Linked DNA regions of Caenorhabditis elegans. The protein of the gene in region 3 purifies or fractionates together with the protein of the main gene of each other region. This does not show direct contact. Each region holds a gene or a part of one and is shown on either strand. Other genes may lie near its edges.

What was found.
Region 1: the proteins of rac-2 (region 3) and R05C11.2 fractionate together in Caenorhabditis elegans (co-fractionation; one large-scale study listed by BioGRID). This does not show direct contact.
Region 2: the proteins of rac-2 (region 3) and Y17G9B.8 fractionate together in Caenorhabditis elegans (co-fractionation; one large-scale study listed by BioGRID). This does not show direct contact.

The regions. Positions count from the first base shown.
Region 1 is NC_003282.8:2,055,814-2,063,101, forward strand, and holds R05C11.2 (DUF38 domain-containing protein), read right to left. Parts: upstream 3,299-7,288; coding exon 3,183-3,298; intron 3,135-3,182; coding exon 2,390-3,134; intron 2,344-2,389; coding exon 2,065-2,343; 3' UTR 1,565-2,064; downstream 1-1,564. Other genes in the region: R05C11.4 (Protein shisa-9), read left to right, coding at 1-65, 115-281, 857-895.
Region 2 is NC_003282.8:4,755,613-4,762,875, forward strand, and holds Y17G9B.8 (SGF29 C-terminal domain-containing protein), read right to left. Parts: upstream 3,229-7,263; 5' UTR 3,019-3,228; intron 2,970-3,018; 5' UTR 2,506-2,969; coding exon 2,432-2,505; intron 2,386-2,431; coding exon 1,937-2,385; intron 1,890-1,936; coding exon 1,702-1,889; 3' UTR 1,565-1,701; downstream 1-1,564. Other genes in the region: fbxb-77 (F-box associated domain-containing protein), read right to left, coding at 1-163, 433-524; Y17G9B.11 (PID domain-containing protein), read left to right, coding at 993-1,199, 1,250-1,330; memi-1 (MEiosis-to-MItosis transition associated), read right to left, coding at 3,628-3,810, 3,862-4,053, 4,103-4,288, 4,336-4,815; cyp-31A3 (CYtochrome P450 family), read left to right, coding at 5,448-5,540, 5,587-5,987, 6,031-6,127, 6,176-6,270, 6,319-7,033, 7,089-7,175.
Region 3 is NC_003282.8:16,305,027-16,312,399, reverse strand, and holds rac-2 (Ras-related protein rac-2), read right to left. Parts: upstream 4,176-7,373; coding exon 4,071-4,175; intron 3,675-4,070; coding exon 3,583-3,674; intron 3,144-3,582; coding exon 2,958-3,143; intron 2,776-2,957; coding exon 2,571-2,775; downstream 1-2,570. UniProt on the Caenorhabditis elegans protein: During gonad morphogenesis, plays a role in distal tip cell (DTC)-mediated guidance of gonad elongation.

The sequences.
Region 1 (7,288 bases), about 14 Mb from region 3:
GGTAATTGTGACAGCAATAGTTTGCAAAAAGATTCCCGGGTGTCCAATGTATCAGAGTATTCATAGTAAGTTCTTTCTTTTTCACGGAAAGTTTGAAATTTCCACCAATTTCAGTGATAACTCGATCGAATGAGTCACCATCTGCGCTCTACCGTCCGGTAGATCAAATTCCGCCAAAAATGTACGAGGCACCGCCTCCCTACGAGTGTTTTGTACCCCCGCCGGTGGTTGCCACGTCATCAACGGATAATAACGAATGGAATTGCATACTGGAAAATGAGGTATGTGGGAGGAGTTTTGATTTTGGCGCCAAAAATTATACATTTAAAAAATTATTAAAATTTCAAAAATTGGATTCGAGAAATATAAATTAAAAATTTTTAAATTTGGCGCCGAAAATTAAAAATGCGAAATTTATTTGAATTCAACGCAAAAATCATAAAGAAAATTTTGAAATTGCACTAAAAGTTTAAAAAATCTCGAAATTTTTTAAATTGGTGCCAAAATGTAGGAACTTAAAATTTTGAATTCAAAGTCAAAATTTAAAACTTTGAAAATTTGGAACTTGGCTCCAAAAAGTGATTTTTCAATTTGGTGCCAAAACTTATTAATTTTACAAATTTCAAATTTGGCGCGAAATTCGAAAATTTTTGAATTCTTACATTTTGCCGCCAAGTAAAATAAAATTCGTTTGTGCCAATTTTCAGATTTTGAATTTTATAATTTTGTCGGTTTTTTCAAAAATTTCGAGTATATAGTTTTTGGCGCCGAAAATTCAAAAATTTTCCATTTGGCGGTAAAAATTTCAAATTTCGCACGGAAATAGTTACAAATAAAAAAAAATCAATATTTTCAGGTAAACGGATCCCGTAGGACACCTCCTCAAATCTCCTAATCTTCCTTTTTTTTTCTAAAAAATTATAAAAAAAATCCTCTCTTCAAATTTAACGGGTCTTGACACGAAGTACTCTCACATTTTAGCATGTTTTTTTTAATGTAAGATATTGAATTCCCCGCCCCCCGGATCATTTGCTCAATTTCTTCTATGAATTTATTGATTTTTTTTCAATCACCCGGCTTCTTCAATTTTTCTGTATTTTTGTGATTTTTTTCGAATTTTTTGGTTAAAAATTCATCATTATTCGGTGCTTTTTCTCATGTGCTTCTTTCAAAATTCTTCCATGTTTGTTGGAATATATGGAATTTTTATGTAAAAATCTTCGATCTCTGCGCTTTTTGCTTCAATAAAAAAATTTAATACCGCGGAAACATTCGTTTGAAGAAAATTTCTTAATTAAGAAAAAGTTCAATTATCACCTTTTCCAGCAAGTTTCCAGCTTGAAATTTTTTATTTATTTAATTATTCAATCATTTCTCATAGTGAGACTTATTATTGATTTATGCTTTCATTTTGTCAAAGTGCGTCCATTTTGTATATATATATATTTTTTTTTTTTTTATGTTGCACAATATTTTCAGGTTAAACAAATATTTAGATACATTTAACTTTACCGTAAAATATGAAAAGGTGCACAGTAAATTGAGAATAATTAAGAAATAAATGTTTAAATTTATTATAAGTGAATTTATTTATTTATAAAAATAGTACGTGAAATATCTATATCCACGCCATTAAAAATTATATTTAAACGTACAAAAGATTCATGCACATGAAAGTATTGTTTAAATTAGGGTTCCCAGCTGAGTGAGGCGCAAAATGCGGGCCTCACGCCGGCCTCACGCCGGCCGGCCTTCGCCTTCGCCGTTCGCCGCTTTCAATAATAATGACGTGAATTTTAAATTTTAATTTTCAAAAATTCGTTGAAAATTTAGAAAAAAAATATAAGAAATGAAAATAAAAGTTTATGTGTAATTCAGTGAAAGGCGAGAGTGACGCCGTGAGGCCGGCGCGGCGACCGCTGAGGCGGGCGAAGGCGCCTTTGCGGCGACCTCATGGGAGCCCTAGTTTAAATCAGGTGAAAAATTAATATTTGAAAAAAAAATCATTAGGGACAACTTTTCGTCCCGTTGGCGAGGAACAGGGAAGTGACCTTTACAACAGCTCTAGCACCTAGCCGGACTAGATTCCCTCGGAATAGCCGGACTAGATTCCCTCGGAATACGATTAAACATGAATTTTTTAAGATTTTGATAATATCGAATTTGTAGATCATCTGTGTCGTTCATGCAATTGAAAAACCAAATGCTAGGTTGATTATTTGTAGAATCGGTAACTATGCGAAACGGAATTCCCAAAAATCCTTCTTGAAATATAGAATTATTTACGTCACTGTTCACAAATGTGACCTTGAACTGGAGAAAGTCCGGTGAAACTAGGAACATCTGAAATTATTTTTTTTTAAAAATTACATGAGATATTCGAACTCACATCTCTCAAATATATAACATTTTTCAATGATAACGAATCCAAAATTATGTCAACTTTTCTGAAGTGAACAAGATTTTCAACATCACACTTGATAACACGCTTAATAATTGTCAACTCTTTCGCATTCCTCCATTGTTCCATGACCAAAAACTCTTCAATGCTCCATACATCACTTGCAGGTACGTCGAAAGATGTTCCAAACTCAATTTTGTTCAGCTTAGAGGGATCCACGGATTGGAGCAGTTGCACTATGGTTTTTTGGTTTCTTGTTGTGACAACCAACTTTTCCACTGGCAGCAATCGACCCAGCGAGGCGTGCAAATCTTTGAACGATTTCAAAAATCGATTCTCATTCTGGTCCCAGATTGAATGACTTTCTGTTTCCTGGGGATTCCCCTCAATTTCATCCATGTATTTTTTTTCTTCTTCCGTAACATCCTTGAAACTTGACTCGCTGGTTTCATCAACTTGCATAAAATTCATTTTAAGTTCTTCCAAAGCAGATTTTTGATTTTTCAAAATAAGGAACAAGTCGTTTGAAAAGTTGCCGTAATCCAACTCGCTAGATTTTCTGGATAATCTTGAAGCCTTATATGAAACTTTTCGGTTTGTGGATTCGGTAAACATCTCAAGAAGTGCGCACCCAATGCTTTGAACATGAATGCCGATTTTGAGTAATTTATGGTCTGGTTTGATAAGGTCGATGCACTGACGGCTTCCATAAGAAATTTTACGGAGCACTTGTCTGAAAAAATAAAATTCAAGCTAAAAAAAATCAAAAGACTTTACATACATATCAAAAAAATCGAGACGTTCAACAACGCTGTTCATAATCACAGTGTTGTAGAACCACAAAGTGCTTGATATCGATGAGCCAGAAACTTCAGACAAAAGCTTCGTTTCATCCATTGTCAGCTGCTCTAGCTGGTTCTGAATAGTTGCATTGTTAACAATAATTTCGTTTCGTGCAAGTATTACACTGTAGGAGAAATAAAATATGCCTGTTCTGTGCTAACTCTAGCTTTTTCTCGTGTCGGGCCATAAATTGAGCAAGATTTTGGCAAAACTTGGTTTAGGTTGCTCTTGATCTGCCACTCTTATCTAATTAGGAAATAATGTTAATTGGACATTAAAAAAGACAGAAGTGAAATGGAAGATCAGATTTTTGGCTACATGAGTTTTTTTGGGGTTACCTGGAACTTAGCAGAATAAAAAAGAATTTAAAAATGATTGCAATGTTCCTATTCGTGTATTTTTTTTTTTCGAAAGTTTTCGAAATTTTTTGTGATGTCTCATTATGAAATTCGGTGGTTTTGGACCAGTTTTAGTCTATTTAAGCAAAATATCCACAAACTCTACTCCCCCTTTAAGTTGATTCACAATTTGGAGAAAAATGCAAATTTAACGAAAATCTGAACTTTTGCCATGATGTCAATGTTATGCCGCAGTGACCGAAAGTTGAAATAATTTAATTCGCACTCTAGTTTGCATGTGGTAATTGGTACATTCAATTTCTAAGTCACAACATCTTGACAGTTTTTCCACACAGCAGGACACACGAATTCTTTTTCAGCATCAGATTTTGTCAGCTCCAAAACTGTTGTACAGGCTCACCTGCTAAAGGTCACTCTCTCGCAAAATATGTAGGAGGCAGTTATATTGCCTGTGTATCTCTACAAACTCAACTCTCTCTATACGCTCACAGGCCACTCCCGTTGTGGGGGAAAAACGGTCAAGATGTTGTGACGTAGAAATTGTAGGTACCAACTATGCTCACTTACCAATTATCAACATGCATAGTCGGTACCTTTTCACTAGTCAAGAACATTGATCACATAGAGTCTACAAATTTTCTGACCGAATATATGTTAATTGGAAATAAAAGAAAAGAGCCAAACTTTCGACGCTTTCACTAATTAAATAATTTTTCTGGGCTTCTTTCCGTTAGTTTTTCGTTGTTCTTTTTGTTGCATAGATTGCATAGCAAAAATAATTTATTCATAGGAAAATTGACAACTGACAAAATTGCCGAAAAAAAATCTAAATAACCCCTATGCAAATTTAGCTATTTACCTGTTAAGTTTTCCAGGTTTTCATAAATTCCCCAAATCCAAGTACTGCTCTAAAACAAATAATCTAAAAATTGTCCAGCTTGAAAAACAAATACCCATCTTCCCAACGTCTTCCAGGAAATTCTAACCGCAATAATATTTTCCTGCATTGCATCCAGATGTTAGTTATTGGAAATATATGAACATGCGAAACGGAAACCAATATTTTCTTGGAACATCTTAAAATGAATGAGATTAGTTTTTCTTTGTATAGAGCTTCTTTACACCTATTACCCTACTCATATGAGTTGATTAAATGTATGGGTACTGTAAGGGTACGGTAGTTAAACTCAAAACTGAACTGTTATTATAATTCTTGCCTACTAATATTTACTGTTGAATTTAGTCATTACGGCCCATTTTCTATTATTTAAAGCAAAAAAATTGACTCTACTCCAGTGGTGGGCGGCAAACGATTTTTTCCGGCTAATCAGCAAATTACCAGAATTGAAATTATAGGCAAATCGGCCAACCAGAAAATTGCCGATTTGCCGGAAAAAACACTTCCGGCAAATTGATATCCGACAAATCGGCAAACCGGCAAATTACCGGAATTCAAAATTCCCGGCAAATCTGCAAACCGGCAAATTGGCACAATTGAAAATTCCCGGCAAACCGGCAAATTGGCCGAATTGAAAATTCCCGGCAAATTCTCTAACCGGAAAATTTCAGGCAAGTCGATTAACCGGCAAAGTGCCGGAGTTAAAAATTTCCGGCAAATCAGCTAACCGGAAAATTTCCGGCAAAGTACCGGAGTTAAAAATTTCCGGCAAATCGGCGGAATTGAAAATTCCCGGCAAATCGGCAAATTAGCGGAATTGAAAATTTCCGGCAAACCGGCAAATTTGCCGAATTGAAAATTTCCGGCAAATCAGCTAACCGGAAAATTTCCGGCAAAGTGCCGGAGTTAAAAATTTCCGGCAAATCGGCGGAATTGAAAATTCCCGGCAAATCGGCAAATTAGCGGAATTGAAAATTTCCGGAAAATCAGCAAACCGGCAAATTACCGGAATTTAAAATTCCCGGCCAATCGACAAACCGGCAATCTGGCGGAATTGAAAATTCCTGGCAAACCGGCAAATTGGCGCCATTGAAAATTCCCGGCAAGTTGGCTAACCGGAAAATTACCGGAAATTAAAATTTTCGGCAAATCGGCAAACCGTCAAATTGGCGGAATTTAAAATTCCCGGCGAACCGGCAATTGCCGGAAATGAAAATTTTCGGCAAATCGGCAAACTGGCAATTCGCCGATTTGCCGTTTTTGTCGGAAAAAAATTTGCCACGCACCCCTGATCTACTCCACCTCTAACAATGACGTAATTCTGATAGATAATAAAAATCTGTTTTTTTTATTTCTAATTTTAAATTCAATAATCTCAAATCAGCATGTTTTCAAAATTACATTCAATACTCGAAACCTTGAAAATCTCAATATCAAAAAACCTTTTCACTTCTCCATTTTTTATGTGCATAAGCATAAACAACAAACATTTTTGCCCTGCCGCGCGCTCTCAAAAAAAAAAAAGGCGGCGGCGCCCCCCGTTTCTCCCCCGGGGGCACCCACGTCCATCAACTGTGGTGCTACTCATTGTGAAGAGCATGGAGCAACGAATGTTGTGTGTGTGTGTTTTAACACTTACTTTTTCATTTTTTTTTCATTCTCAATGTGTGTTCCTATATTATTTCTTATTTCTATTAATTGACCTGGTTTCCCCATTCCAGGAAATTCCAGCTCCAGCTCCTCTCACCTCCAGAGCCACAATTCAAAAATTGTGCTGTTTTGCAAAGAGGGAAGGGGGAGGGGGATACATGGAATAAAAGCCCCCATATTCTTGTGCCTCTAAAAAAGAATCTCAGAAGATGCGGGGGGCGATTCCCAGTGGGCGCCCCCCTCTCAGGCACCAGCTCTTGTTCTTCTCCACTGCCCGACCTTTCTTCTGGTGGTGGTGGTGGTGGTGGTGTACATATCTATTTTATATACATCTGCTATTTGGTTTTATATGTATGTAGTTGTGAAGTCACTTTATGATTTATGTGGTCATATGAGTTTCTAGCTTTAGCCTCGGAGGTAGAGCTCCGAGTTAGAGCCAGGAGATCTACTACATACACTTTTAAAATTGCTCTGTTTTTGTGAATTTGTTTTCTTAAAAGTGGAGTAGCTTTTCGATGCCCTTTGTAGACAAATCAATGGGAAAATTGTCAATTTCTGAAGGCAGTAATTCTCAAAATCCACTTTTCTTTATAGATTATCGATTTTTTTCCAAAAAAAAAAATGTCCTGAAAATAAAATAAAATACACATTTTTCTCTATAAGTCTATACTTTTTTCCAGAAAAAATTAAATTTTCTCAATAAAAAATTGATATTTTTCCAAAAAAAAAATTGATATTTTTCTCTAGAATTCTATATTTTTCCAAAATAAAATCTAAATTTTATTCCAGAAAAAAAGGTATTTTTTCTAAAAATCAAAAAAAAGTTCAAGAATTCTATATTCTCTCCTACCTCGACTACCTAGACTACCTAGACTACCTAGAGAATACCTAGACTACCTAGACTACCTCGACTACCTAGACTACCTAGACTACCTAGAGAATAACCGAATATAAATGTAAAATTGTTTTGAAAACTTTCCTAATTTTTTAAATGATTTTTTTCAATTTTCCAAAAATTGAAAAAAAAAACGGCCGGACAAAAATTGAATTCCCGCGCAAGTGAGTGACGTCATTTTCGATATTTTAGAGTTTACTGGTAAAATTCTCCGGTTTTTTTTTCAATTTTCTTTTCTGCAT
Region 2 (7,263 bases), about 12 Mb from region 3:
GCTGGGGGTTGAACATTCGAAAGTGTAGAATCGGAAATCTCTACAACCGGAAACGTCAATCAATATTTCATTTGAATTAATTGCGATGATAAAACGTTCGGTTTTTATACCAAGGTGTTTAGTTTGTTGCATTGCAGCTTTAGATGTGAATGATAATTCAACTCTGTAATGAATATTTCATATTGACAAGGAAATGCGATTAGTGAACCATATCCCTGGATCAAGGCTATTTGAGAACGGGATGTTTGAATTTTAATTTTACTAGTCGGAGGAAGTCGAGAGGTAGGCTCGAAAGACACCGGCTTGTTGAGTAATAAAAGTTTCAAAGTAACTATACATTTCATTAAAACTTCTCGAATCACTCAAGCAATTTTTCGAATTACGCTCTTCAGCAAACTACAGAAAAAATTTAATGATGATCTATGTACTCACAATGCTTCTATGCACATTCTGCGCAGCACGACATCAATCGATTTTTGAGGTAATTTGAGCAATGTGAAGGGAATAGGCACATAGTCATCCATGGTCACAAATAAAGAATGAGCAGATGGGAGGATTGAGTGGTAATGTTCAGTGACCTCTTATTTCTCTAACTCTCTACTTACTTGTTATTATACATCTGCTGCAGAGACAAAGATTTCCTTCGTCCGTAACCACTCCCATGTTCCCAGGACCCATTAACATATTCTAACGTCTTCTTATTCTGACAAAAAGAATCTTCTCAAACACTTCACTCTCACGGACGAACGGACAATCATCTTATGGAAATATTTCATCAAAAGAGAATTGATAAGTTATCATTTGATACTGCACAATTCGAAAGTACGATTTGTGATGAATTCGAAGGATTGGAGTTTGAGGATTTGCAGCTAGGCACAGTGTTTGGCTTTAACAGTTTGCTATATGAACATGTGTTGAAACAGTTTTCCGGTAAAACTGATTCAATTTGTACAAGCAGCAAAAACCCGTTCTCAATAGAAGCATCTAAACAAATGCAAATGGTTTTAACACGTAACATGGACATAGTTGTACTACACCAATCATTGAAATATGATCTTAATGATGTACTAAATAGTGACAAATGCTTCCGCATTCGTCGCTTATCTAAGAATCAAAGATGTCAATATATTTTTGAAACACTGGATTCACGGAGTCGACAGGAAACTGGAATCTGCGAATTTCGATTTTACTGCATTCAGGTGAGACGAAGATCTTCTCGAATCACTCTTTGAAGGTATAGAATATCTAGCAGATAGCTATCTCTAGTGCGCTTTCGATGCTGAGGAGACTGTGGATAGAGAATTTTTTGTTCTTTTGCCGTTGGGATTGACGGGATGTGACGAGTATCCTGTCAAAGGTGGTTATGATGTGAGAAGGAATGATGGGATGACGGCTATGTACTATTTATCATTGTAGATCGTGCAGATATATTAATCAAAATGTTTTTCTGGTTTTAAAATCACGTTAATTTTTAATAATCAAGACCACGCATTGGATCACTTTCTAATTTTTTCTGCACTCTCTGAATTATTTCTCTTGTATAATTTTCGAATAATGTTGCCGCCAATAATAACACGTTTTATTTTTGATAAGAACAACTTTTATGGACAAATAAAAAACATTGTGAGATTTATGAGAAGGAATTCCGGGATTTTTAGGAGTTACATACAATAAATACTGTCAATTAATTGGATTATGGCCTCATTTCTTTTTGTGGCCATTTCCCTTTTTTGGAGCAGTTGATGCAGTGAGCCCTGCAACTTCTCGGAAGGCAACCACGTATTTCTGAGCAACCGGCATTGGAGGGCAGAATCCTGATGCATAGCTGTCGTCTTCGAACGCTACTTGATATGGTTCTCGAAAATCTGCTGGCGGGGAGTGAACTATTCCTGGAAAATAATTATTTTATTTTTGAAACTTTTGTGAAAATTGGTACCTTTGTAGAAGCAAGTGGTTTGTGGATACAACGCCAACACAATCGCATTTTTCTCGAAAAGTGCATGCTTGTCTGATGCAGGATTCGCTTTCCATTTTGGGAGGGGTAACAAATGGCTTCTCGCGAAAACTGTCAACTTCTTCTTGTCATCATCAACGTCTCGACACTCATATCGCGAGTTAGAGTGACATGTGACAATATCAGCAAGAATCCAGTTTCCGTCTTTACTGAATGCCGCCACTGAATCTCCGTCGCCTAGTTTCGAGCCATCCTGTGGTGCAATAGCTCCAACATATTCTCCAGGAAATTGTGTGTCATGGCTGGTCCATAATGGAAGAAGGTCGCCGCGAACCTTGATCAGTTCCATTAAATCTCTCCGACTGATGTCTCCGGCCATTTGGGAGCGATAATCCATTTCAGCAACACGTTTTACTTCGTCCAAAAGATTTCTGTAATATTTATTTTAATTTTGAGAGATTAAAGATGAAAACGAACCTAATGAATGATTGTTGTGATTCCACAGATCGATGAGTGCTGGTGACAAAATGTGAAATTCCATCGAAAACCATGGAAACTTCTCAGTAAACCCGTTCAGAATATACCCAGATTTCAACCGAATTTGTGCACAGCATGCAGAAATCGCCGAATTTGTACAGATTGCAAATTTGAACAGATTTTCGAGGCAATTGCCCCGAAAATTTTGTTGAAACTATTCAAAACTTTACTTCAAATTTTAAAAATTTATCTAAAACTTGGTCTTCATTGATTTCTTTTGTTAAGATTTTAATTGATATTTGCAAGAAAACTTTAAAATCGTGGCGAGACCCAGCCGTACAACCACGTGCCCCTTTAAACAGACTACTGTATTTATATTGAATTTTTAATGATTGGATTTCGCAAAAATTAGTTATAAAAATTGTTTAAAAAAACCCACTTTACCCTTTCCATAGGGGTTCGGCTCATTATCTCGGAATTCTTGAAGTTTTTGCAGATTCTCGTTGATAGCGTCTTGCTTCGATTTCACTGTTGGCAGCTGGAAAATTAATTTCAAAACTAGGAATAAATAAATAAATAAAACTCACCTTTTTGATAACCTCTTCGGCGGTTTTCTTCTTCATTTCCTCGGTGATTTGCACATCGTTCTTCTTCCGAGGCATTTTGAAATTATGCTATTTTCCTGAACAAGGAAATGAAGAGGTGCAATAGAGCAGATATATATTTAAACGGGAAGAATCGAGAGAGACCTGATTACGTGATGAGACGGGGAGAGTGCAGACATTACAAGTCGTATGCTGTGAATGAGGCAATGAAAAGGCCAGGTTGTTGCGGTGGGAAAATAACGTATATGGAGTAATTTACCAGTGAAAAGCCGGGAATAGTTGAAATTCATATTCTAATCAATCAATCAGAGCAGTAATGCATTGTAAAATTATACCTCAAACAAATTCATCTTTGAAAAAAAATCAAAATAAATGCGGGCAATATACATGTCGAATATAAACAAAATAGTCGTGGGTTGTCACAATTTGGGCATTGGAGAATCTATATACATAAAACAACTAAAACAAAAAAGGAAAATAAAATAGGGGAAGTTAGTTGGAATATTCAACAGGAACCACTCGGTTATTTAAATACATATACAATAATACAGACTTATGCACATTACTACTAATTATAGGACATATATGGAGTTACTCGTCCTCTTCATCCAGTTCGAATGTTTCGAGAAACGAGATCAGGTCGTCGACTGGCGCAATTCCGTTTTCCAGCGAGATCATATCCTTTTCGACCTCGAATTCGTGGATTTCGACTGGCTCTTCGACAATCAGCACTCGCCGGTTCATGCACTTCACCGTTTGCTCCAATTCGATGTACTGAAAATGTTATAAATTGGAAATCGATAGAATTATTGCTATACAACTCACTCTATTTCTTCGGAAAGGATCCCTGGTGCTCGAGTTGTTCTTGTACACGATCCTCGTTTCCACGTGGCGCTTTCCTCGAATTGAACACGTGATTGATGCAGTCGAAGTCATCAGCCGGCCTTGTGAATCGAGTCCTGGCTCGAGATTTCCGTATTCCCGGCAGTGTGTGGTTCTCAGGAGACGAGTGATAGTCTGAAACATGAAAAGTTATTTGTGTGTAATATAAAACCGATTTACTTACTCTCTTCGTCTGTGATCGGATCAGGGTTGCAACCACAAAGCTATCTGTCATTTGGAACCTTTCGTTTTCCTTCTCTAGTTGTTCGAGCAATGCAAATAACGTTTGGAACGACATTTCATTGGTTGTCTGGATAGCAAATCGAGCCACATTTTGTCCCGTTTCCTTCGGTTCGGTCAGGAGAGAAGTCTGAAATGAGATTTATGCTTTATCAAAAATATGGCCAAGAAACTAACCAGAATCAAACTAGAGATATCCTCGACCGACAGCTTCCGGCACTGAGCGGCAAAATAATGTGGTCGTTGGTTGGGATGAAGAAACACGTGCTCGACAAGCGCTTTCTCCGATTCTCTGGTCGTGTGGAACCATCTTTGCGAGAAATAGTCGTAGCGCTTAAGACGAAGATTTTCAATCGGCACAGTCTGAATGTGCCGGAGCACTTTGACAGCTTCATCGCGGATGATTGTCTTGCTCGGTTTCTTGTCGACGAGCTTTGGAGTCTCATCGATACGATGAACGGAACAGTAGTTCTCATCTTCGACGAGCTCCACATCTTCTCCGTGCCCTTCGATAATTACATCATGATTGATGTTGGGTTGTGGTGGGAGGGAAGAGCAACCGGCTCGAGCGGTTTCCAAGCGATCTTCTTCGGCGTAGTTGGCGACGTATCTGGTCGCCGTCAAATCGCGAAGGACGGTGCGAGATGGAGCTGACATTCTGAAAAACGTTGATTTAAAATTTTATAAAAAATTTGAAGCAAAAATGAAAGAGAAAACTAAAAAAAAAGTAAATGTACTGAAGTGATTGGCAGATTAATAATAATTTATCGATAAAACCATTTTTTAAAAAACTTCATCAGTTTTTGTGAGTGTCAGCAAAGAAGAAGAAGATTCACGATCAAAAATTCGTTGAGCCTATATGAAATAGTTGCGCTGGTTTTTCGACGGGGGGATCAAATACGTCAAATAGGTCAAATAGACGAAGCATTCATAAAAAGTACAATATTCATTGAAAAATAGTTTTGGATTTGTTTTTTTGTTTTCTTCATTTTTTTGTTGAAAAAATAATGGTAATTAAAAGTTTTTAATAATTATTTAAATCAAGATTGAAATATCAGAAAACGACAAAAATTCGTTCGAGAACTTTCTCAAGACTACCGTACTCTTTAAAGACGCATGACGATTTTCACATGGGTCTCACCACGACTTGTCTGAAATTTGAATGTTCGTTCAAAAACTTTTTTTTTTGCGATTTTCAAAACCAAAGCTTAACAAACAATTTTCCTCAAGTTTTCAACGCTTTTTGCTCGTTTTTTTCGCTCAAATAAATTATTTCAGAAGGTTTTGCAATGGGGGTTATCATCCCCGCTGTACTTCTCGCTTCGGCGACGATAATCGCTTGGCTTCTCTACAAACACTTGAGAATGCGTCAAGCTTTGAAGGTTTGATTTCAAAATTCATTTGAAGATAATTTAAATAAATTTTCAGCATCTCAATCAACCACGTTCATATCCAATCGTCGGTCACGGACTGGTCACCAAGCCAGATCCAGAGGGATTCATGAACCAAGTAATTGGAATGGGATATTTATATCCAGATCCACGTATGTGTCTTTTGTGGATTGGTCCGTTCCCTTGCCTGATGCTCTACTCCGCCGATCTCGTGGAACCAATTTTCTCGTCGACGAAACATCTGAACAAAGGTTTCGCATACGTTTTGCTTGAGCCATGGCTTGGAATCAGTATTTTGACAAGCCAGAAGGAACAATGGCGTCCAAAGCGAAAACTCTTGACACCCACCTTCCATTATGATATTCTGAAGGATTTTTTGCCGATTTTCAACGAGCAATCAAAGATTTTGGTTCAGAAAATGTGTTCCCTCGGAGCAGAGTGAGAATTTCAATTTATAACGCTTTCAAATATTCATTTTCAGGGAAGAAGTTGATGTTCTCTCCGTTATAACCTTGTGCACTCTTGATATCATTTGTGAAACTTCCATGGGCAAAGCTATCGGTGCTCAACTCGCGGAGGTTCGAGAAATTCTTCAATCGCAACATTTCTAAACGTTTTTTTTTCAGAATAACGAGTATGTATGGGCGGTGCACACAATCAACAAGCTGATCTCAAAGCGAACAAATAATCCGTTAATGTGGAATTCGTTTATTTACAATTTGTACGATAGTTTTATCATTAAAAAGGTCAATTCAATTTTATTTTTCAGAACAGAAGACGGACGAACGCATGAAAAATGTCTTCGTATTCTACATGATTTCACGAAGAAAGTAATTGTCGAGAGAAAAGAAGCGCTACAGGAGAATGATTATAAGATGGAAGGTCGTCTCGCATTTTTAGATCTTCTTCTCGAAATGGTGAAAAGTGGACAAATGGACGAAACAGATGTTCAGGCAGAAGTTGACACATTCATGTTTGAAGGCCACGATACAACATCTACAGGACTAATGTGGGCAATACATCTTCTGGGAAATCATCCTGAAGTTCAGAGAAAAGTTCAAGCGGAATTGGATGAAGTGATGGGCGATGATGAGGACGTGACTATTGAACATCTCTCCAGAATGAAATATCTCGAATGTGCACTAAAAGAAGCTCTCCGATTGTTCCCATCTGTTCCAATTATTACAAGAGAATTGAGTGATGATCAAGTGATTGGAGGTGTTAATATTCCAAAAGGAGTCACTTTTCTGCTCAACCTGTACCTTGTTCATCGTGATCCTTCGCAATGGAAGGATCCTGATGTATTCGATCCGGATCGTTTCCTTCCTGAAAATTCAATTGCTCGCAAGTCTTTCGCCTTCATTCCATTCTCAGCTGGAAGTCGTAACTGCATTGGCCAACGTTTTGCACTCATGGAGGAGAAGGTCATCATGGCTCATTTGTTGAGAAATTTCAATGTAAAAGCTGTCGAGTTGATGCATGAGGTGAAACATTGAAAATTAAAATTGATAAATTAAATTCTAACTGAAAATTGTTCAGGTTCGTCCGAAAATGGAGATTATCGTTCGCCCAGTCACTCCAATTCACATGAAGCTTACCAGACGCCGTCCAATCGTCTCTCCATAATTTCAAAATAGCCAATTTTATTCTTGATGATTATATATTTTTAATGCATGATAAATTTTAATTTTCATACTTTACCTTGCAAATGTGA
Region 3 (7,373 bases):
GAAGGGCGGGACGAGACAAGAATGTTCCGGAAGGAAATGCAAAATGTGGCGCGCGCTGCCGAGAGAGTTCGGTGGAGCGCGCCTGCACGGGTTACGGTAATTATCATTACAAGTCTGGTTCGACGTCGGAGGGTAGCGGCACTTGTGCGACTGGTTGGAACGAGCTGTAGAAGGCGAATCTTGTAAGTCCTGAGACGATGCGTTCCAATACAGACTGCTGACTCTCCGAGTAGTCCTGAAATACACGTATAAGCTGTGTGGGAAAGATGTAGTGAGGGGCAGATCCTTACATTATTCAATGCAAAGCATACGAGAAATACGTCTGTTTGTGGAAATTTTTTGTGGAAATGTTGGCGGAATCTGGAAAGAATGGGAAATTTTAAGTAGGCTGTAAGATTTGATATGAAAATGTTCCCTCTCATTTAATATAGACATTATTTTTGTCATTGTTAAATTTGTTAAATTGTTAAATAAGAGTTTGCTCGAAAGTTGCTAGTAAAAATAGTGAAAATTAGAAAAAAATGTTGTTGAGGAAAAGTTCCGAGCAATTTTTACTGTAAAAAAATTGTACTTTCTCTAAAAATGAGTAGATTTCACTAGAATGAATTGAAAATTAGTGTTCAACTATTCGAGTAAAATTTGAAATATTTTACCATTTTCACCTGTTTTCCAGAAAATTTAATAATCATAAGTTTTTATCAAAAAAGGTACAAATTAAGCCTAGGCCAATTCCAATTTTTATTGAAAATTGCTCTGAAATAGGCGATAACTTTGAAAAAATGTTATCAAATAATTTGAGAAAATATTTATGAAATCTGGCTCATTTTTCGAGAAATTTTTCAGATTTTTCCGCTCGTACTGATCGTAATCTTCCTGTCCAGCTGTGTCCCATAGGCTGAGATTTATTGGCCGTCCGTCGACCATCACATTTGTTGAGTAGGTGTCGAACACCTGCAGAAATATTGAACATTATTTGAATTTATAGTCAAATTTCAGACCGCTTTTAATTTTCTCTGCTCAAAATCAGGCAAAGTATTTTCGGTAAAAATTACCCACTTTTTATTCTAAATTTTTACCCATTTCTACGTTTATGGACAAATGTTGCTTTTTTTGAGAAACAAGTTCAACTTTTTATGTTTTCTTAAATAAAAATGACGATTTTTTTCTGATTTTTGCACGCCATTTTTCTCAAATTGCCCAACAAAAAGTGGCTCACCGTTAGAATATATTCTCCGGGAAAAGCGTTTGTAGTGTACGATAGCAGGAGACACGTCTTACCGACGGCTCCGTCACCAACGACGACACATTTGATTGCTTGCATCTGGAGCTCCGCGAGCAAAAAAACTGAAAATTGGTTCAAGAACAGGAAAAATTTTAATCATGATATTGAAAAATATAGGAGATAACCTTCGGGGGGAAACCTAATGGGGTTATTCAAGTAGTGTCGGAAAATTAAAAAAGTGTAGGAATATTAGGTCACTTTATGTACATGTTTTTTATGTATTTTAATACACAAAGTGACGTAATATTCCTACACCTTTTAATTTTCCGACACTACTTGAATAACCCCATAACTTGTTCCCTCGAAAAACTAAAAAATGAGAAGCAAAACTGGATATAGTAAGAATATTTCATCTTGTCGTGTTTATTAAAGGGATGAAGCAATTACAGAATAGAAGAGTAAATGGGGACAAACAACAGACACGTGGTAAGTATAAGGAAGAAAAGTATAACGAAACAGGAGTATAAGGAAAATATAAGGAATGACCTTGAATGCGCGTTTCATTTAGTTTTATAGGTGAATTGGGCCGGGCCGAAGAACGATCGAGAACTACTGATGAATCCTATGAGGGAGGTAGGGATTCCATGCAGGCGGGATAACGTCTGCCACGCGCGCTTTGCGGTGACCCCCGAGCGGAACCCGAAAAGCGTCGGCCGCAGCTAAAACCACATTTCGCACTGAGTTGTCTGTACACCACGCCTTTGACTTTTCGTCATAGTGCAGAAATTAGGATGACCATCAAATTAAACTATGGCTTCCATGTGAGAGCCGCATGGCGGAGGCGCCTTTGCCGGCCTCACGCCGGCCCGCCGTCGCCTTCGCCCCTCGTCGATGTATGTGCGCAACGAAGTGGTAGTTATATGGAAGCGGCCGACACGTTCGAGGTTTCGCGCCGCACTATACATACGGATACTTGCGGCGTTAGTGGCGACATGAGGCCGGTGGAGGCGCCTGACCGGCGCCCACATGGAAGCCCTAAAAGAATTCACAATCAAAGCTCAAATTACGAGTTCTCGCCAAAAACATGGTGAAACTCCGATTTTAGCTTTGAACACACACGTGGTTCGTTTTTTGGTCTGTTATAGGTGGGTACTAATCATGTGGTAATAACTTTGTGATGATCAGTCCTCAAGGCAAGGGATTATCCTCTCCTTCAATTTTTTTTCCGACCTGAAAATATGAAATTCCAACGACGAAAAGCTTCAGAAGCTTTTATGTATTGAAAATTAGTATGGTAGTTGAAATTGTTGTAGTTTCTGTAATTTGAGTTCTCCAATTTCCTCGCATTTTAAAGCACCGTGCAATTGCTCTTTTTGGCTCTCGTTTGTGGTGTTTGTGGCGGGGTGAGCCCAGTACGAATTGCCTCATCGAAAACTTGTTTCAATCCAATTTGGGTAAGCGCCGAGCATTCCAGGTACTTGACCGCCTTGATTTCCTTTGCCATCACGTAACCCTGGGTGTGGCTCACTGGTTGGAGCCGACGTTCACGGAGCCTGCAAAAATTTTATTTTTCAAGAGTTTTTGGGGGTATTACATTGGAGTTGCTGTCTTTTTTGGCCGAAAAGGTAAAAACATGGGGAGATATGCAAAAGTTTCACACCCAATTTCTTGCCATATCTCTCTCAAACATGATAAAAAAGTTGTTTCGATGCTAAAATGAATCCCAAAAAATTACCGTTCAATAGTATCTCGATCCTCGCGTAAATCAGCTTTAGTTCCAACCAAAATAATCGGTGTATTTGGGCAATGATGTGATACTTCTGGATACCATTTTGCACGAACATTCTCAAAACTTGCTGGATTATTCAGTGCAAAGCATACGAGGAATACGTCTGTTTGTGGAAATGACAGGTGGCGGAATCTGAAGAAAAATGGGGAAATTTAAGTGGGCTGTAAATTTACATTCACATGTAAATACAATAAACATTCATTAGATAGATTAGATATAGTTTAAGATTTTTTTCATTCCCTACGAAATTTGATATGAAATGTTACTTTTTGATAGACATTCTTTTTGTCATTATAAAATAGAATCCGCTTGAAAATTGCTAGAAAAATTGTAAAAAGTAGAAAAAAAAGTTGTGGAGGAAATATTTTTAGCAATTTTCACAATAACAAAATTGTACTTTTAGCAGACAATAGGTCGGTTAAAAATTTTAGAAGTTTCAGAATGTTTCGCTCTAAAATAGAAAATTGCTCTAAAATAGGCGAAAACTTTGAAAAAATTTACTATCAACTATTTTGAGAAAATGAAATTTGGCTCATTTTTTGACGCATTTTTCAGATTTTTCCGCACGTACTGATCGTAATCGTCCTGTCCAGCTGTGTCCCATAGGCTGAGATTTATTGGCCTTCCGTCGACCATCACATTTGTTGAGTAGGTGTCGAATACCTGCATAAATATTGGGCTTAATTCGAGATTATAAGGAAAAAGCCCAATTTCAGACCGTTCTCCAATTTTATCTGGTTAAAATCAGGCAAAAAAAGGTAAGAACTTTTCATATTTTCATCATGTAAATTAGCACTTTAATCGTGTTTTCGGTCAAAATTTTCCACTTTCAGAGGGTTCATTCAAAAAATGTTTTCATTTTTACGTTTACGGACAGAAGTTGCCTTTTTTTGAAAAACGAATTCAACTTTTCATGGTTTTTTAAATAAAAAAGTATAGATAGATTTTTTTTCAAATTTTTTTTCAAATTTTTGCGCTAAAAAATAAGATTTTTTGAAAAAAAAATTTTCAAGTGCCAACCCGAATTTTTCTCAAGTGCCCCGACAAAAAGTGGCTCACCGTTAGAATATATTCTCCGGGAAAAGCGTTTGTAGTGTACGATAGCAGGAGACACGTCTTACCGACGGCTCCGTCACCAACGACGACACATTTGATTGCTTGCATCTGGAGCTCCGCGAGCAAAAAAACTGAAAATTGGTTCAAGAACAGGACAAATTTTAATCATGATATTGAAAAACATTGGAGAAAACCTGATAGGAGGGGGAAATCTAACTAACGTTTTCCCTCGGAAAACTTTAAAAAATAAGAAGCAAAACTGGATCTAGTGAGATTATTTCATCTTGTCATGTTGATCAGAGGAATTAAGTAATTACAGAATAGATGAGTAACAGACACGTGGTAAGTATAAGGAAGACAAAAATAACGAAATAAGAGTATAGGGAAAATATAAGGAATGACCTTGAATGCGCGTTTCATTTAGTTTTATAGGTGAATTGGGCCGGGCCGAAGAACGATCGAGAACTACTGATGAATCCTATGAGGAAGGTAGGGATTCCATGCAGGCGGGATAACGTCTGCCACGCGCGCTTTGCGGTGACCCCCGAGCGGAACCCGAAAAGCGTCGGCCGCAGCTAAAACCACATTTCGCACTGAGTTGTCTGTACACCACGCCTTTGACTTTTCGTCATAGTGCAGAAATTAGGATGACAATTGAGTTCCAACCGCTGCGACACTGAAAAGTTGTCAATAGGGCTGTTAAACAGGACGTCCTCATCGTCCTCCCAATTTTTATACCAAAGTCCTCGGACTTAACACATTAATTTTGATAACGAAAATAGATTATTTGGGTTAATATTATCTGGATTCGAGTTTGAGGCTGAATTTTCCTGTTAAACGGACGCCAAAATAAGCCATCAAAAAATGACAAGGACGACCTAGGACGTCCTAAATAACAGCCCTAGTTGTGAAAATTTGAGATTTCAGCAAAATATAGCCGATTTTTCCAAAATTTTTGAGTGATCATAACTGTTTTTTTTAGCAATCTAATTACGAAAATTTGTAGTATTGTGCCATTTTTAAATTTTCCTCATTTAAATTTTTTTTTTAACGTGTGGAGTTTTTGTATCTTTAGGCTCAGGAAATAACCATTTCTAAGCCTAAAGAGGGGTAATGGACATCACGTTTTATTAAAATGGATACATTTCAAAAAAAGGGAATAGGGCTTCCATGTGAGAGCGGCGCGGCGGAGGCGCCGTCGCCCTTCGCCGGTGTGTGTGCGCAACGAAGTGCGAAAGGTAGTTATTTGGAAGCGGCCGATACCTTCCGAGTTCCGCAGCTCGGCGTGTGTAGCTTGGCGAGTGAGCAACGTAGTGCGAAACACAAGTACCCATTTCGGTACTCCACCTTTACTTGTCATTGGTCAAGAATGTTACAGAAACAAAATTTTCGCTCTTGCCGTAAATAACATTCACCTGTCAGTAACTTTATTTCACACTAATTCCTAATCTATAATATAAATTTGGCAGTACATTGCTTTAAAAGAAGTACCAATGAACGACACTATTGTAAAAATTACTGAAACAATATATTATTCTTTCAAGATATTTTTTATTGCTTCGGTGATTGTTTTTTCGGCATTATTCCCAGTTTATGTGTACGTGTTCAAAATGAATCGAAAACTCGATAAAGCGGTATTCAACACGTGCATTGCATTAAACATAACTTTCTCATTCAGATGATACTGTTTCCAGCTGTTAATCATCTTTATCAAATGTCCAGAAACGTCTATTTCCTATACCTAGCGTTCCTGTTTTTCTTGTGCTTTAGTTGTCTTAATATGTGAGATAAAAAATTCTTGATCCAGAACAATAACTTTTTTTAAAAGAAATTCTCCTAACTACTTTAACATCTCCTATTTAACACTTCCTATTGTAATATATGTGCTCTACATAATAACACAGGTTTTCTCCCTGTTGACGTTTCTCCTGTCTCTCCAACGATTTATATTATATTTCAAGCCCTCAAGTGAACAGTATTTAACCAAAATACCATTTTCAAAGAGATTTATCTTTTTTTAAATTTAATTGTGGCTATCCTTTGAAAACAAAATAAATGTATTAGTAATAACTACAAACTGAATATCACCTGCTTAAATGTTACGACGTTAGAAAACGGTGCTTTGAATCAATGCAAAAACAATGTTTAAAGTAGTATTTATTCAAAACATTCGGTTTGGTGCTACAATTGTATTCATCGAGTGTAAACTGATCCCCGAAACATTTTCGCTAGACTGTCTCAGTTTAAAAAACTTCCCGAAACCTCCCAGGATAAATTCTCGGTAAGGTTTCTGTACAATGAGCATAACAATTGTTGATATGAAACCATGTGTTGCAACTATAATATACATAGTATTATTCAATGCCGCATTGAAAAATGGTGTATATGAGAAATAGGCCATTGGAATGGAGATAATGGAAAAGGGAATTGCCAATTGCAAAAACATCGCCTTCATCAGCTTTTTTTGTAGTTCCAAGGTTTGTTTCGAACGGACTTTGCCATATTTTTTAAGAGCACGGTAGATTTGAAAAAAGAGTGCCAAGCAGGTAACATAAAGTAGTATTGCTTCTCCTACAGTCCCCATCAGATATTGCAATTTGTTTTCCACGGCAAGGTAGAGAGGGAGAGCGCGAACTTCATCTGATAGGCAGGGTAGGGCTGGCCAAGTGTCGTCAATAAACAAAAATTTTCATTTATTTCTGTAGTCGAAAAATGAATCTCACACGTGATTCAAAAAATTAGAAAGTCATTTCTTGACACTTCGTGGTGTCGCTTTTCGACACTGAATACGTGGATAAAAATGAATGAAAATTATAATTGTTAATCAAAGTATTTTATTAAATTTTTCAACTGCCACATCATTGTTTTCTGTGCTCATTTGAAAAAACGTGAACTGGGAAATAAAATCAAAAATAAAAACAATAAATCAACGTTTCGAGTGTCTAAACTCGACGGTGTCGGTTTTCGACACGTCAAATATTGACAAAAACAAAAGTGTCGAAGAGTGACCCCCGTCACGTGAATATTTTTTAAGTTGTCGTATTTTTTGACATTTGGCCAGCCCTAAGGCAGGGAAGAGACTGAAAATTGATAATTTAATTTCTATGATTAACAAGGCTATTATCTGGAACCACCTCTATGATAAAATCTTTTTTGTACTCTATTCCTGGTGGCATTGTAGCATAAACTGGATAGAAGGTGGCAATAGCAGTAAAATAGTAAAATGCAAAGAATGGCGAACGTGCATATTCCCATTTTGTTGGATTGATTAACAAAATGGAAAGTCGGTTTTCTAGTACAACAATG